Oryzias latipes: one gene and its partner. The protein of the gene in region 2 interacts with the protein of the main gene of each other region in a biochemical or structural test. Links are inferred from orthologs where the notes say so. Each region holds a gene or a part of one and is shown on either strand. Other genes may lie near its edges.

Region 1 (7,728 bases), on a different chromosome or scaffold from region 2:
AAGTTTTTTCTCACATTGACGGCTTGATCCTTTTTTGCTGACATCACACACGTGTTGTCTGCTGTGGTTACACTTGGTTGTTTTTACGTTATAGTAAAATAAACCTACTGTACCTCAATCCAAATGGTATTCGCCAATATTGATTATTAGTCATATATTTCATTTTGGAACAATCTTATAATGGCATGAGTCGATTAAATTAACAACGTGCCTCAGTTGATAGATTGTTACACACCTAGTGAATCAGCTTTCAATGATTCACACGGGTAGATGGTTTTTATGCTGGATGCCCTTCCTGTGTTTTTCCTAAATTTGTGTTTCTTCACCCTCTTGATACTTGGCTAAGAGGGTTGGTGATCATCACTCATGTGTTTCCATTTACAAGTTTTATTACATTTGCAAAAATTGCATAAAGAATATAAATCAAACTAAAGGTTCCCACTTGAACTGATTCAAAGAAGCAGACCTTTCAAGTTTATTGGTGTGAAAACGCCCTATTGTTCCTCGCCATGTTCTTGTGATGGAAGCAGGACAGCAGTCCAATGAAATGTCCTTTCTGATCAAACCTTCACTCTGTGGGTTGCTCAACAGGTCCACATGTTATGGCTTGCACACCTGGACAGGTTTTCATCTCAGATTTGTGTTGTTTCTGGCAGGTCGGCAGTTCAAACCATATTGTTCTTCACTGGTGCAAAAAGTAAACACCTCCACCTGCATTTAGGGGAACGGCCTCTCCATGTCATTGCATGGTGCTGCCTTCTTCTCCTGGTTGGTTAGTCTTGACCCTACCTCTGTTCCTGCTTCCCAGGGTTGTCAAAGAAGAGATTTCCGATGACAACGCCAAGCTGCCATGCTTCAATGGCAGAGTCGTGTCCTGGGTAAGTAAGACGCATCCTACAGCCTTGCTGTGCTGATCTTCTCTGCTCTCCTGAATCCACAGCTCCAGCCACAGAAATGTGGCTCACTCCTAGATCACGCACACAAACACATGTAACACCCCCACAGGAGGGAAACGCTAACTCGCACTCTTCAACTGAAGTGGAAATCTGTGACTGATCCATCACTGAACCACGGCTACAAAAGTCAATCATGTAGAGCTGAAATTAGTCAGTTTATCTGTGGAATCATGTAGCTCCTGAGTGGTTTTATTACACACAGTAAACAACATTGTGAAAGCAAGTTTCCCTTTGGGAAGAATAAAGACGGTTTATTTTTACAGTTTAGCTTTGTTAGAGCAGGATTTACGTCTTCATCACTGTTTTGTCAACCAGGACAAAGGAGTCAGGTTAGAGCTTCCTAGAAATATTGATCTAAAACTAATAAAAAGGACATGCAATTTCGTTTGATAGGATGTGTATTCAATCAGCTTGATGGCTTTTTTTTTTAACAGTCCTTGATGTTTTACATTATTGATCTCTGAAGGGAGACTCATTATTCCTCCCTGAATCCGAAGGTCAGGGGTTAGTCAGGGGTTAGAGTTGTGCACTTGTTAGAGCCGTCTTTCTTAGAAACACTTAATTAGTGTTGATACCGGGGGCAAAGCTCTAAGCCTCGGCTTGTTTATCAGGTTCTTACTTTGTTATATTAGTGTCATCAACCCATACATTTCAGCTCATTGTCTTTTACACCAAACTTCAAGCAAAAGCCCACATTTACTGCTTCCGCTTCTCCAGGGTTTGGACGGTCATGAAAAACCTGGAAACGTTTCGGAAATTAAAAATGCAATGTCTAAGTCCTTGAGAAGTTTGTGAAAAACAAAATCTTCAGTAACATTTTGGAAAAGTCATAACAATGCAATATTTTGAATACAAAAAACATAAGATAAAATAGTTTATGAGATTCAACTTTTAATTGTGGCAGACGTTCAACTTCACCCTATCAGTGATGAGAGTTTGTGTTGCCATAAAGCAGTTTGAGTTGTCGTCAGTTCAGCGCATGGCGCGTTTAGCTTTCTACAGTGAAATGCTACGAAATGCCGGTAAAAATTTAGCTTTAACCATGAGTGGTTTTTCTAGCAGAGGCATCAACCGTTCCTAAAACACATTTTGCACCAGAAATGTGCAAAATGCAGGCTTTTTCTCCAAGTCCTTCGACATCAGCAGCATGAGAGAAGCGGGGCTGGTCAGAGAATTAAAAAAAACAAAAACAGGTAATGATGGTGTTACTATGGAAGCGTATTGCATTCAATAAAAAAAAAGAAAAAAGAACTGGTGATCTACGTTCTAAATTTTTTCCGTCATTTTCGTTCAAATATTTTTAGGCACTACAAAGGCGAAGAACTCCAAACAGGCTGGGCACTAACTTTATCTGCTCATGAAATCTATAAGATGAGCTCTGTAATATTAGTGGATAAAGTCTGTAGGAAGACCAAAACAGGCGATATCATGACGAGCACATAAACAAAACAGATCATGTCTAGGACATGCACACATTGTGGCTTTTCAGCTTTTAATTGCAGCTCATCTTATAGTCTTCATGTTAGCTTGTAGTTCTTTGCTTTTTTAGTTCACTGATTCTTTAACGTCGGGTCAAAACACGTCCCACATAAAAGTCTTTTTTAAATGGATAAAAATCATTATTTTAAAATGGATGGACATACTCACAATGTTAGATCTAAAGGAATTGTGAATAGTAGATAATTACTTTTTTAGAGATGGACGCCATCAGGTCACACTAGTAACCAGCATTGAAAAACCTTAAGTATTTACAAACATTTATATCAAATTAAATTTGAGGGTTAAAAATGTCTAAAACAATAAATATCATGAAAATCAAAACAATTTTTTGAACAGTAAAAGGAACAGATGAAGTTTTTCTGAAGGTATTTTGTCCCAACTCTCAAGAACCAATGAGCTCTTAAAAATATCAGGAAAGGTCTGATTTAGCGGAACCGACTAGGTCTGACGGAAATGTGTTTGTTTTTGGTTTTGGAAATTCTGTGAAAGGTTATGGAAAAGTTTTGGAAAAGTTATGGAAAACCATTGCTAAAAAAGTGTACAAACCCTTCTCTTAGATTCCTTTCAAAATAAGAGCTTTAACTCACCTGCAGGTTTCTGCTTCTTTTAAAATGACGTGTCTCATAACTGTCTTATAAACCTGTGCTGCTGGCTGAATCACTAAGTCCACCAATGACTTCCCTCACCAATAAAACACAAGTCTTTGTGGTTTAAATAACCACTATGATCATCTTTTGATCAGTGCTTTTTTTTCATAATTATAATCATGCGGTTTTTAGCCAAAATCTAAAAACCTGTGTTGTTTTCAAGGGCATAGTTTCTTCAGAGCAGCAGTACTTCATCAGAAATTCGTCTCTGAGTTGTGGGCGGGACATTTGAGAGACCCACTTCCCATCATCTATATGTTTAAACAATCCATTGCTACCTTAAAACCCTTCAGACCCCCAACCTAACATTACTGGTGCAACAGCAATGGCAAGCAATATTGGAGCTATCCAGGCATGCAGTTTTGAGCCAGATGCCAGCTCAGATGAGAAAAACAAAGATGTCAGTCAGAATGTAGCGGAGCAGGGAGCTTGTGGCCCACCGACTGTAGCTTCTACGTCACAACTACAAGCTTTTTCAAACAACATCTTTCACCTGCTCCTAAATGCAATTTTGAACTTTATTTTCTTTATATATGTTCTCCATCATGAGAAAAATGCCACAAGAACTTTTTAAAAACACCAACAAATAACTTTCAACTGGATGTCTTTAAAGGAAATATTAAAACTGTGAATGGAAATGTTATGATTTTTGAGTTTTGATACAGAATTAATACAAATTAAATGTGTTATTAAATGTTGTGTTGCAGTTTATCGATTTTAGGGGCATTTGGGGGGAAACTTTACAAGCCTTCTAAAAAGATGTTTGAGCTGCTTTTATAAAGGATGAGATCAGATAAGTAAACTTCATTGATCCTGCCGTGGGGAAATGTAATTGTCACAACAACTCTGGAGATCAGGCATCAAGCTACAAAGAAAAACAAAAGGAAAGTGTGTAAAAAGATGAAGGTTAGGGCTGCACGATATGAAGAAAACTCGCGAGATGCGATTAATGATTAATATTGCCATGGCGATATAACCTGCGATATATGAACAAATAGCAAAACAACCATAAACATCCTTTCCATTTCACTGCAGTTTAATATAAATACGAGTCAACATACCTTAAGTTAAACTCCAAATGAAACTAGTCTAAATGGGAGGCGAGAATCTAACATAAAACGGCTTCATCCAATTGGTCAAATGCATAAATGGATTTATTTGATTCACTAAATACTTCAAGCTGCCATAAGATTGTTTTAACACATTTAAAGTAACCATTTATTGCGATTTTCGCTGACCTTTACAATGTTTGTATTGCACAGCTTGATATCGCGACGAGAAATTTGCGATTTATTGCGCAGGCCTAACGAAGATGGGTTAAAAAATAAGAGGTCACGGATATATTTGTTAAAATATTCTTACTGCAAAGAAGGCTTCTAAAATTACATAAAAACAGAGGCAAATGTCTTATAAGCACTTCAAAGTTTTTTTAAGAGAGTTGGCATCAAATGCACATAATTTGTCTATCCTCGGAAAAAAGCTATTGTCTTGGTTTTTTTTGTGTAAATCATCAAAAATAAAACTTAAAACAACAACGCCATTACCTAACCTTGTAAAAAGTACAGTTTGATAATATTTTCATGAACAAGAAATAGTTGTTACAATTCTCAATCTTTATTTTTCTCCAAAACTGGAATATCTGCCCTCAATGGGGGCAGACATGTGAATGAGGACCCAGCCTCCTATAAAAGAGCAGTTATGAAAGCAGACTGCTCCTCCTTTTAGAACTGTACCACAACAACACACCCATGAACCCAGAGGTTGAATAAAAACCAATCGTGGCGCCCACCGCTGATGGCCTGTGCACGGGTATCTGCTTTAACATTCTCATTTATGGCTTAGATGAAAGGATGGGTTCCTTTTGCATCATTTGAAAGGAGACATTGCTGGGTAAAAAAGCTGGACACTCTTTCAAGTTTCTGTGCTGTTTACCGTCTGCCCGAGTTGTTTAGCCATGGCTAGGCTTCTCAATTTATAGCCTTTCCTCATTTATACATGCACACAGCGAGTGTCTGTTTCCACAGCACACAAATATCCCCCGTGTGTTTTCCTCTGTGTGTTTTCTTACTCTCTGTTTGCAGATTTTAATGACACAAAAATCCGACTTGTTTGTTCCGTGTTTCTCAACTGTTCTTCACCAGCATGTTCTCCTCTTCCTCAGTTGGTCCTGGCAGAGAGCGCGCACTCCGATGGAGGATCTCAGTGCACGGAGAGTCACCCCGAGCTGCCCCCTCCCCTCGAGAGGACGGGAGGCATCGGAGACTCGCGGCCCCCCTCGTTTCAGTAAGTAGTTTGCTGCGCATTTGTACTACAGGTGTACTGTCAGATGCTGTCAGGCACAGCTCTCTGCACTCAGTGTGCCTTTTTTTAATGTAGCATGCCATATGTGCTAATTAAGAAGTGGATAGTTCACGGGAGACTCATCCTCCTCATCATCATCAGCTGCAGCAGCAGCTTGTATGGAAAGTGTAGGTGCCTGATTAGGCGATGTGTGAAGATAAAGTCTGCTCAAACTGGAGTGTCAGAATACGCACGGCTGTCTTTGTGGGTTCATTTCCACTCGTGCAAGCATTGGAGCGAGGTGCTCGTCCACCCCTTTGTGTAAACATGATGGGTACTCCACTGCTGATTCTCCAAATATAGCCTTTGCGGCGCAAAAATCTTCAGGCAAAAACTGGCACTGAGTGAGACTCGTGTTCAGTCACTCGGAGCATAATTAACTAATAAAAGCAGAGTGCCTCAAAAAACACATTGGTGCTTTAAAGGTCAGAAGAGGAGATTCCCCTGAGCTTCATCCGGGCCACCTCAGCGCCGATTTTGGCGTAAAACTGTCAAATTTGAAAATATCACAGCTTCGACCAAAGAGAAGCGCCTTGCTAAATATAGCCAGGAGGGGGGTGTGGGCTGGGGCTGTTTCAGTCATAATGTTGGGGCAGTACTGCTGAAGCTCTATATTGAGAGCGTGCAATCTGTCATGTCTCAGTGTATCTCTTTATCCAGCGTTTGACATCTCAGCTCTCTTTTGCCCTCTATGGGACGCTCCCCGCCATGTGGCTGTCAGCCGTCTTGATGATTTTATTGTTCCCCTCCATTTCTCAGTGCTGCCACCTCGTGCAGGCTAAACGCACTGCGCTTCTTACCCCACGTCATTTCCCTCCACCCCCACCCTCCCTCGCCGTCTCTCCTTGAGTCCGACAGACGAGCTTTTCTCTCAGGGAAGCGGTGTGGTGTATTCCCTACAGCAAACCTCCTCTCTCCTTCTGTCTGAAAGGAAGCCCGTCCTCCGGCTTTACCTCTCTGTAAATAGCCAGAATACTATTACCACTTCATTTTCTCTTTGTGCTCTATTCATGCGTTGCATGTATTCCACACCGTGAATGGCCGTGTTTGAAGAATAGGTGTTCTGGGTTTAGAGTGAACCCAACTGATGTGCCTCTGCCTGGTAATCCGGATTAAAGTACGCATCTCTATTTCCCAAGAGGAAAAGGCAGACGATTGGCACCAGTTGGGGAGGGGAAGGTGGAGTGGGATGGGAGGGGGCCTCTGTAGAAAATAGACAGAATTTGTTCCCAGCTGCTGGATAAATCTCCCTTCTTACCAGCAGCTATCAGCAGCCTGACAGACAAGCAGCCGTCACTGTCCCCACTTTGCTGTCCAAACAATAAAAAAAAAAAGCGTCTAAAGCACGCATCTTCAGACATATTTGCATACATGCAGTGACCTGTGCTCCAGAAGTCGTGCTCAGGTGCACCCATCTGCCCGTATGTAGCATGTGAGCATGCCCCATTGAGCAATTTATCCCGCTGAGTGAACACAGCGGCCCCAGCATCCAGTCTGCTTTTAGAGATTTAATTAGCATGCGTCCTCCACACACTGTTGTGCAGCCTCTATGTTTAACCACAGCTGATTGATGTTTATTCACATGTTTCTGTTGCACCTCTTTTTGTTCAGTTTAAGCGCTATAAATCCGAGTGCACGTGCGAGGAGTCTTTTTTTTAATTTTTAAGTGCATCCAGGCGCATATGCATGAATTCAGGAGCGATTACTCATGGAGGTAGAAAGTGAGTTTGACAGACTGACAGGACTGAGCAGAGTTCTCACCGGCTTCAGGTTTCCTGCGAGCCCGGTGGCAGTTTGAGTCCCTAAACCCCGCTGCCTGGGGCGACTAGGTTTCCAGCCGCCTGACAAAGTTACCAAGCCCCTCCGCAGTCCTCAGTCTGCTAACCCCAGACCTCAACAGCGGCCGACTTAATGCTAAGCCCACACCTGATCTACCACTTCTCTGTTTTTATACGATTTGTCAGTCCCGTCTCTGCTCCTCTTGCAGTCATGCTTCAGGCACTATGTGGACTTTCAATAGACCTCATTAATGCCAGTATTGTCCAGAATGTCTCCCCTCCCAAGGTGTCTGGTCATTAATGACACTTAGTGGAAAACACATCACATACCACAGAACAATGAAACTGCTATTTTGGCCAGAGGGACTTAATCTGAAAGAGACGTGATATGGATTTCAGGCTGAATGGCAGCCGGGCAGATATTCTAGCAGACAGAAAAGTATCTCAAATCCAGAAGGAGTTTGACCCTGACAATGTTTTCACTCCATTGTGAATCTAATTGAAGTC
Region 2 (8,265 bases):
CATGTGTTTGTATAACTCTTTCCCCCCCCTCCAGCTGCAGTGGACTGCAGTCCAAACAGTGAGTGACTGTCTGGATGGCTACCCATCTGCTTGACCACTGCTGACTCTATCCACAAACATATGCACTCACACAAACAAACCGTTGCACATTGACATGATGGTGTTCGTTCCATTTGACCTGATGTGGCTACTAACTGCTGGGGCTCGCACCGCAGACAGTGAATGAAAACAAGCCAAGGACAGACCCCATCCAAAACTCTATAATCCTGCTACAAGTATTTGCACAAGACTAAAAAGACTGTTGCCCGTCTTTGTGTTTTTGAAAATTATTGGACTTTGTGCATACTTTATCTAGCTGATGCTGTAGCATGAAACTTCAAATATAACTATCAAACAAATGCATTTGCTCACATTGTCCCAGGGTACAACTTGAATATTTTTGCATTTACTTCTTTATAACCAGCTCAAGATGCACCACACAACTGTTGACAATCTAGATGACATGTCCAGCCAATCAAAATCTACAGACATAGAATAGCAGTAGTAAAATATGTTCATATTTTTCCAAGAAGAAATATTTAATTAGCTATAGCAAATAACCTTTAAATTGTATTTTTGGGTTTTCCCTATTTTCCTCAGAAACTGTTTATATTTATTTATTTTTTCCTGATTTTACTGTTGTTGGGTAAAAATAACAACATTTTTTTTTACATAAATCAGTTACTAGTCAAACTGGGATAGTCTTTCGACAATTTTTTTTAACCAACTGCCATCACTAGTGACAATGTGATATGCATGCAGTCAATACTTTTCCTACATGTATCAATTGAACATGTGTCCATACATGAAATAGCACTTTGCCTGGATGTTGTGACAGTGTGAGAAGCCAAGCCACAGATTCAATAATGTGAACATATATGTTATTAGTTAGCCTCTCTTTTTGTTCCTTATGCGAATTTCCTCTTTTTTCTTGCAGTTAACAAGTAATGTGTTGACTTACTTGTAAAGCTTTTGTCTCTTTATGTACCATCTGCTTTTTTTGGTAATTAAATTATTGCTGGCTGTGATCAAATTAACACAGATACAAGATGACCATATTAGAAGCAAAGGTCACCAACAACAATTTGATTAAATTTCACTCAGAGTTTAAATGAAATTAGAATTTAGTTTTCTTTATTTTTTTTTTCTTCTTTCAGTTTTTTAAAACAGAAATATTTAAAGAAAGAGTTTCTAAAAAGTTAGATTTAAATCTGTGATTCAAATGACTGCGCCTCTGTGTTCAGTTTGTTGTAACAGCAATTACCATCCCTTTTGGGGGTCTTTTTCTGTGAGCGGTAAAATCCAAAACCCTTTGAAGACTCCATGCTTGTTTAAATACTTGAAATTTGTATTCAGCTCCTATACTTTTATTAGCAGTAGCGCCCTGGATGAGCTAAGGGTGAATTTTTGTGGGGTAGAGTAAGGCCATCTTGCATGCATTAGGATCAGAGTTTTTGAGAGCCTGAGTCGTTTTGAATTGCTAAGTTGCTGAAAGACACAAAGTAGGCCTTGCCTTTGGAGAAACAAGTCAGATAGTTCAGCAACTTTTTTCAGATTTTATACAGCAACAATACGGCAGACTGTTAGCATTCCGTGAGCAATTTCATTTTGTTTCTTTAAAAAGTCTATAAAGAAAGTTTGATCTCTGGTCACTTTTCTCTGGGATACTTCATTTAACTCCTCTGACATCTCCTTTTGGCTAAACCTCTCCTCCCACTCCTTTTCCTTCTCCCCCTGCCCTCTTTGACCTTTTCTCTTCTTCCTGTCCCTTCCCCCATCGCAGCCAACCCCCACCATCTTTTAAGCCCACTCAGGGTAGAAACACACCAAATGCAGCGATACTGCCATGCAGCAGCTCCATTCATTCCCTCCAAGCCTGCTTTTCTTTGCTCAGATGATCATGCTGCCACTTTAAATGACAGCTGTTCTGACTGTTGTTTTCACCGCCCTACAGTGAGGAAACGGAGAAGGAGCTGTGCCTTATTGTTTGAAATGATGCCCTAAACCAGACCATGTAAAACACAGCCCTGTTTACTGGTTTAAAATGCTGGAATCAACTCTACTTTTTGTTTATTGTTCTACTTTTTTAGATTTTTATCAGTTTCTGTAGGCCGTCACGTGTCCCACTTGCAACCTTTTTTTTTATTTGTGTGTAAATAGATAGTAAACTGCAATTTTGGATGCAATTGTTAAAAATTTAAAGTGAGCCACTTTTGAATTAGAAATCAAAAAGAAAACTTAGAAATGTTTCAGATTTTTTGTCATGGCATTTGGGGCCCTTTCCCATGCCTACATCCTGCCTTGGCAGTTCACCAAAAAATTGCCTCTGAGTTGCAGGTGGGATAGTTTGCATGGAGTAAGCCTGTCTTCAATTTCCATTATCTCTTTGTTTATACTCTATCCCACTAGCTTACAGCCCCTCACAACCCTACGCTAACATTAGCAGTGCAACAAAGAAAGTAAGCAATATTTGAGCCATCCAGCGAAATAGTTTTGAGCCAGATAACGGCTCAAAAGAGAAAAACAAAGACTTAAGGCCCGTACACACCGGGACGAATATTCGCCAGGCGTTATTCGCCAGCGTTTTTCGCCACGTTTTTTGTGTTCACACCCAGGCGATTTTCGCTGACGGTGAGCCGAGCGAACATGCAATTTCATTCCCTGACATTAGATGGCGCTTAATGTAAACAGAAATACTCCTGTACACAAGGTGGCGCTGCGCAACTTTACGCTTCTTAAAGTCGCTTTTCACTCAGAAGAAGATAGCAAGTATTTACGCGCTTGTCAGAATCAAACAAAGAAAACATGAATATTTCAAGCATCAGTAGCTCCAACTGGTACTTGGTAAGGGGATATTTAAGAATGTCCGTCATTATTTCTTTGCGGCAGTGTTGACGCTACTTGGCGTCTATCTTCTTCGCTGGTATGTGTGCTCAGCAAGGCAGTTTTGTGTTTGAGCGCCCCCAAGTTGTGTTTTACTGTAACTTCAGAAGCTCCAGACACGTGTGCAAAAGCGCCATTCTCATTGGTCGAATAGATTTCGACGCGACGCGTCGAAAAAAAAAAACGAACCCGAGGCGTTTTTTTTTTTGACGCTTTGTCGCGTGGCGTTTTTTCGCGTCGGCGTGCACACTCTCATTGGTGCCCTTTGTTTAGTCACGAGGCGTTAAACGTCGGCGAAAATCGCCGGCGAAATTCATCCCGGTGTGAACAGGCCTTTACATGGATCTATTTCTCTGCATGTGGATGCATTGGAATGGAGTGGAGCAGGGGAGCTTGTGGCCAACCGATTGCAGTTTGTATGCAACAACCACGTTTTTTCCCTCCGTTTTATTTACTTTCGGCTCTTTCTTATTCACCACGATTTGAATAAGGAAATACCCAGAAATGTAGTTTTAGTGTTAATTTTCTTTATGTATTGTGAAAATAATGCTACAAGAACATGAAATAAACACAAAATAACACCATTTTTATTTGAGAGGGTCTTTAATAAGAAACTAATAAAATAATAATGTTTGTTAACTATATTTTGGTACAGGCATTGGTTTTAGTTTCTAATACCAATAAAGTAAAAAGCTCCAAGTCAAAAAGGGTGGAAAAGGTTCATAAAAATATCTCAATAGAAAAAAATTTATTTAATGGAAATCTCTAGTGTCAAGTTATTAGTGTAGCATATTTCCTTGCAATGGGGAAATTAAAACCAATCAGGAACAAGTCACGTAGGAAAACAAACGCCCGGATTGGCTGAGACGTGACGCTGGTTTTAAGGCGCCCCGTCATCTATTGGGGGGGCGGCGAGTGAAGGGAATGGGCGCCTTGAAACCGGTGGAATCTGCAAGGAGTGAGAGCGAGCTTCTGGACTTCCAACCGCCCAGCGTGTGAACCGACGCTCAGCGTGAAGTTTAGCCCCAATGTTCTAGATATAGGCCATTCGGTGGTGTGTTTCCCGAATTTCGCCGAAGTGAGAAGCTTAATGTTTGGGAGACGCTGGGATTTTTTTTTACGGCTGAAGAAAACTGACTTGGAAGTGTTGTTTTCCATTGAGTGGGAGTGAGAGTGGACGGCTTGGAGTCACTTACAAAGAACACTAAGAAGTCATGACGCGACGGACGCTTTTCCTGGAGTTATTACCTTAAATACAGGGAAAAAACTCGATTTGGACTATCTTTTACAGTAATTGTTGGGACTGTAAGTTGAGTTTTAAAACCGCTGCGGACTTTTTGGTGTTTTTAAGCCTTTTCGAGTTGCCCTTAGTTGGATCAAAGTTTTTCTTTCCCTCCCCCTCCTCCTCAACTATGGCGGCGGCCAGGTTATCCACTGACTCCTTGTGGCTGTGGATCATGTGGCTTGTGTGCGGGCTGTGTATGCCAGCCGCTTCGGCTCAACACTACAGCGACAGTGGAATATCAGTTCCGGAACACGGATTTTGCCAGCCCATTTCCATCCCGCTTTGCACCGACATCGCCTACAACCAGACCATCATGCCAAACCTCCTGGGCCACACAAACCAGGAGGACGCAGGACTCGAGGTGCACCAGTTTTACCCGCTGGTTAAGGTCCAGTGCTCTACCGAACTGAAGTTCTTCCTGTGCTCCATGTACGCGCCGGTCTGTACCGTGCTAGAGCAGGCCATCCCCCCGTGTCGGTCGCTGTGTGAGCGGGCACGGCAGGGGTGCGAAGCCCTAATGAACAAATTCGGCTTCCAGTGGCCGGAGCGACTGCACTGCGAGGCTTTCCCGGTGAACGGAGGCAGCGAGATCTGCGTTGGCCAGAACACATCCGAACCCGGCTCACCCTCCTCCTCATCCCCACATGTGCCTGAGCTTGTAACGGTTCCACCCAACAGGTTTCCGAATCCACCTCAACCTCCACACAATTCCTACCACCAGTTCTCCTGTCCCTTGCAGCTGGAAGTGCCTTCCTACCTCGGCTACAGATTTATGGGGGTCAAGGACTGCGGGGCCCCCTGTGAGCCCACTAAGCCAAGTGGGATCATGTATTTCCGAGAGGACGAGGTTAAATTTGGCCGACTTTGGGTTGGCATCTGGTCCATCCTTTGTTGTGTGAGCACTTTATTTACTGTGCTCACATATTTAGTAGACATGAGGCGGTTCAGGTACCCTGAGCGACCCATCATCTTCCTATCCGGTTGTTATTTCATGGTGGCTGTTGCATACGCTGCTGGGTTTTTCCTGGAGGACAAAGTTGTCTGCGTGGATAAGTTCAAGGGGGAAGGCTTCAGGACTGTAGCTCAAGGGACGAAAAAAGAGGGTTGCACGATCCTCTTTATGGTGCTGTATTTTTTTGGAATGGCCAGTTCCATCTGGTGGGTAATTTTATCCCTCACATGGTTCCTTTCTGCTGGGATGAAATGGGGTCACGAGGCAATCGAAGCAAACTCCCAGTACTTTCACTTGGCTGCATGGGCGGTACCAGCCATCAAAACCATCACCATACTCGCCATGGGCCAGGTGGATGGCGATGTCCTGACAGGGGTGTGCTTTGTCGGGATCTTCAACGTGGACGCCCTCCGTGGGTTTGTGCTGGCTCCACTTTTTGTCTACCTGTTCATCGGCACGTCCTTCCTCCTCGCTGGCTTTGTGTCCCTCTTCCGAATCCGCACCATAATGAAGCACGACGGAACCAAAACGGAGAAGCTGGAAAAGCTCATGGTGCGGATCGGTGTCTTCAGTGTGCTCTACACAGTACCAGCCACCATAGTGATTGCGTGTTACTTCTACGAGCAGGCCTTCAGGGAGCATTGGGAGCGCACCTGGCACATGCAAACCTGTAAGCGCTTTGCTGTTCCATGTCCGGTTCACAACTTTGCTCCCATGACGCCGGACTTCACTGTGTTCATGATTAAATACCTGATGACCATGATAGTTGGAATTACCTCTGGCTTTTGGGTGTGGTCAGGGAAGACTCTTCAGTCATGGCGGAGGTTCTACAAGAGACTTGGCAATGGCAACCATGGGGAAACAACAGTGTGAAAATTGGAGGAAATAAATTGCGTCACATTACAGTTTTGGACAAAACACCATAAGAAATGAGGTCGAAAAGCTTTTAAGTCAACATGTTTCTCCCTTTGGACCCCCCCCTCAGTATTTGGCAACAGCAAAACTCTTATCTGTTGCCTCAAAACGTCGGACGAACCTTTATTTCGCTTGTTTCTGTTGCTCATCAGTTACATCAAAACCATTGCTTTCCCATCGATTTTCAGACAAAAACTGGTGTTAAAGTCTGTGCTAGTCCCTGGACTGAAATCCCAGACTGGTGAAGTTACTATTTGCATATTATCAATGGTATCCTCATGTCACAATAGAAATATCATAGTCCATTTTTTGTTGCCATTTTAAGGTGGACTAACAGGATGGACTCATTTGTCCAGAAGCGTGCCTGCACGGCTCCAAATGCTTTTAATGGTATGATTGTTGAACCACCAACAACCTTTGACTGTGAATTCAATAGACATTATGTGCTTTTAGCTGAACACGGAAAAAGCTGTATTGTGTTAGGTTTTCAGCACACAGCTGCATCTCTTCAAGTGAGAGAAGTTCTTCCAAGTCTGTTTTATGTGCCAAGTTTTTCACAGAAATATTTTTCTTCTATATTTTCCTTTAAAAAAAAAAACCAAACGATTTTAATGTCTGAGACTGAAGGGTATTCACTAAAGTTACTAATGGTCAATATAAGGATGAATGAAGTTTTCTTATACTGGTTTGCACCGTTATTGTTAAGTGTAAAAGAATGGCTGTTACAGAACTGACTTACCTTGGATCTTGCATTTTAACGAAGCCACACAAATGTCTAATGTACGCGCTGTAACTGAGACACACCAAGCCCATTGTTGGTCTCTGTGTGTGGTCCTTCCGCAGTGGGATTCCCTATCAGACAGACTTTCTGTTAAGCCTCAAAGACACCCAAAGTAGCATTTTCCTGCCCCACGTTTAATCCGTGGGAGTGCAAATGGCTGCTCTGGTGCTCTGATCTTATTTTGTTCTACCTAAAGAAGTTCACACCTGCTCAGTATAACTTTTACTTCCTTACCGTCTTCCTTCATGTTCTGAAGTTATTTTTTGTGCTTCTACACAAGCAGACTGAACAAGTTGTGATGTTATTTTAGTGTCTGGATTATTTTAAATATCCTTCAAAAGAACAGTGAAACTGCTGGTCTCTGTTCAGACTTTGTCTGATCTATTAGAGAAATGTCAGTAGAAGGTCAGAGGTTGCAGGGATTTTTCTATTTGAAAATGCAGTGTAGGCAGATTCGATTAACTTTAGCCATTGTTTAGTGTTTTCTAGGGACTAAATCACCTCAGCGTGTAACAGATTGGTAACGCAACGTGTGTGATGTCCACTTTATCTAAAACGGGACATTGAATGTTTGTCAGATCACATGATCAGAACATATATATATATATATATATATATATATATATATATATATATATATATATATATATATATATATATATATATATATTATATATATATACAAAAAAAGTTAATTATCCTTGGAAGATATGCGCGGTATCAATAAGGTGATCAGTTTGATAGGTTTTAACTTTAACACTACGAACATGTTTTTATGGGGGATGGCACAAGTCACAATGCTGCTCTATCCACCCTGACTAAACAATAAAATTAGGAAAACATACGCGGAATCTGAATCAGCTGGATGGTGGCATGTGACCATAAGGTCATTTTGCTCTTTAACAACATAGTTTCTCTGTCTATGTCCTGTGTCCCTTTATAAAACATAGGAACTATCTGTAAGATTGTAGGTCAATGTGCAGTTTCATGGTCAACTTCAGATCTTTTAAATCTCCAAAGCTGTGCCCTCAATCCATCTATATTTTTATTATTATTATTATTGTTAAGAAGTTTCTGCTTTGTACCTACCTTTGTGTTATCCTAAAGGCAGTTTGTATATAGTAAATTTGTGATATTTTCCATGTGAATGTACTGCATACCTCAAACCCAGGTTAAAGTCGGCTCAAATGATTGACGTATTGGAAGTGAGTCGGCGAATCCACAGTCAGTCATTGGGTTGTTTTTTTTCTTTTAACCAAATATGATAAAGTAATTCTGCTAATGCCTTGAGACAGCTAAGATCTGCCATTTCCAATGACACTAGACTGACCTTTCCTCTTTCATAATTAACTGTTTATTTTACTTTAACAACAAATCCAAATCAGCAAGTAAAACATTTGAAAACTTTGT

The links. The genes of interacting proteins can lie anywhere in the genome.
Region 1: the proteins of frizzled-7 (region 2) and dvl1 form a complex in vitro, tested with the Homo sapiens proteins (2 studies listed by BioGRID and IntAct, with this or other methods). The link is inferred for Oryzias latipes from reciprocal best matches to the Homo sapiens genes FZD7 and DVL1.

The regions. Positions count from the first base shown.
Region 1 is NC_019865.2:20,959,369-20,967,096, reverse strand, and holds part of dvl1 (segment polarity protein dishevelled homolog DVL-1), read left to right. Parts: intron 1-808; coding exon 809-878; intron 879-5,264; coding exon 5,265-5,386; intron 5,387-7,728. UniProt on the Homo sapiens protein: Participates in Wnt signaling by binding to the cytoplasmic C-terminus of frizzled family members and transducing the Wnt signal to down-stream effectors. Plays a role both in canonical and non-canonical Wnt signaling.
Region 2 is NC_019879.2:16,922,353-16,930,617, reverse strand, and holds frizzled-7, read left to right. Parts: upstream 1-3,859; 5' UTR 3,860-4,334; coding exon 4,335-6,032; 3' UTR 6,033-7,466; downstream 7,467-8,265. UniProt on the Homo sapiens protein: Receptor for Wnt proteins.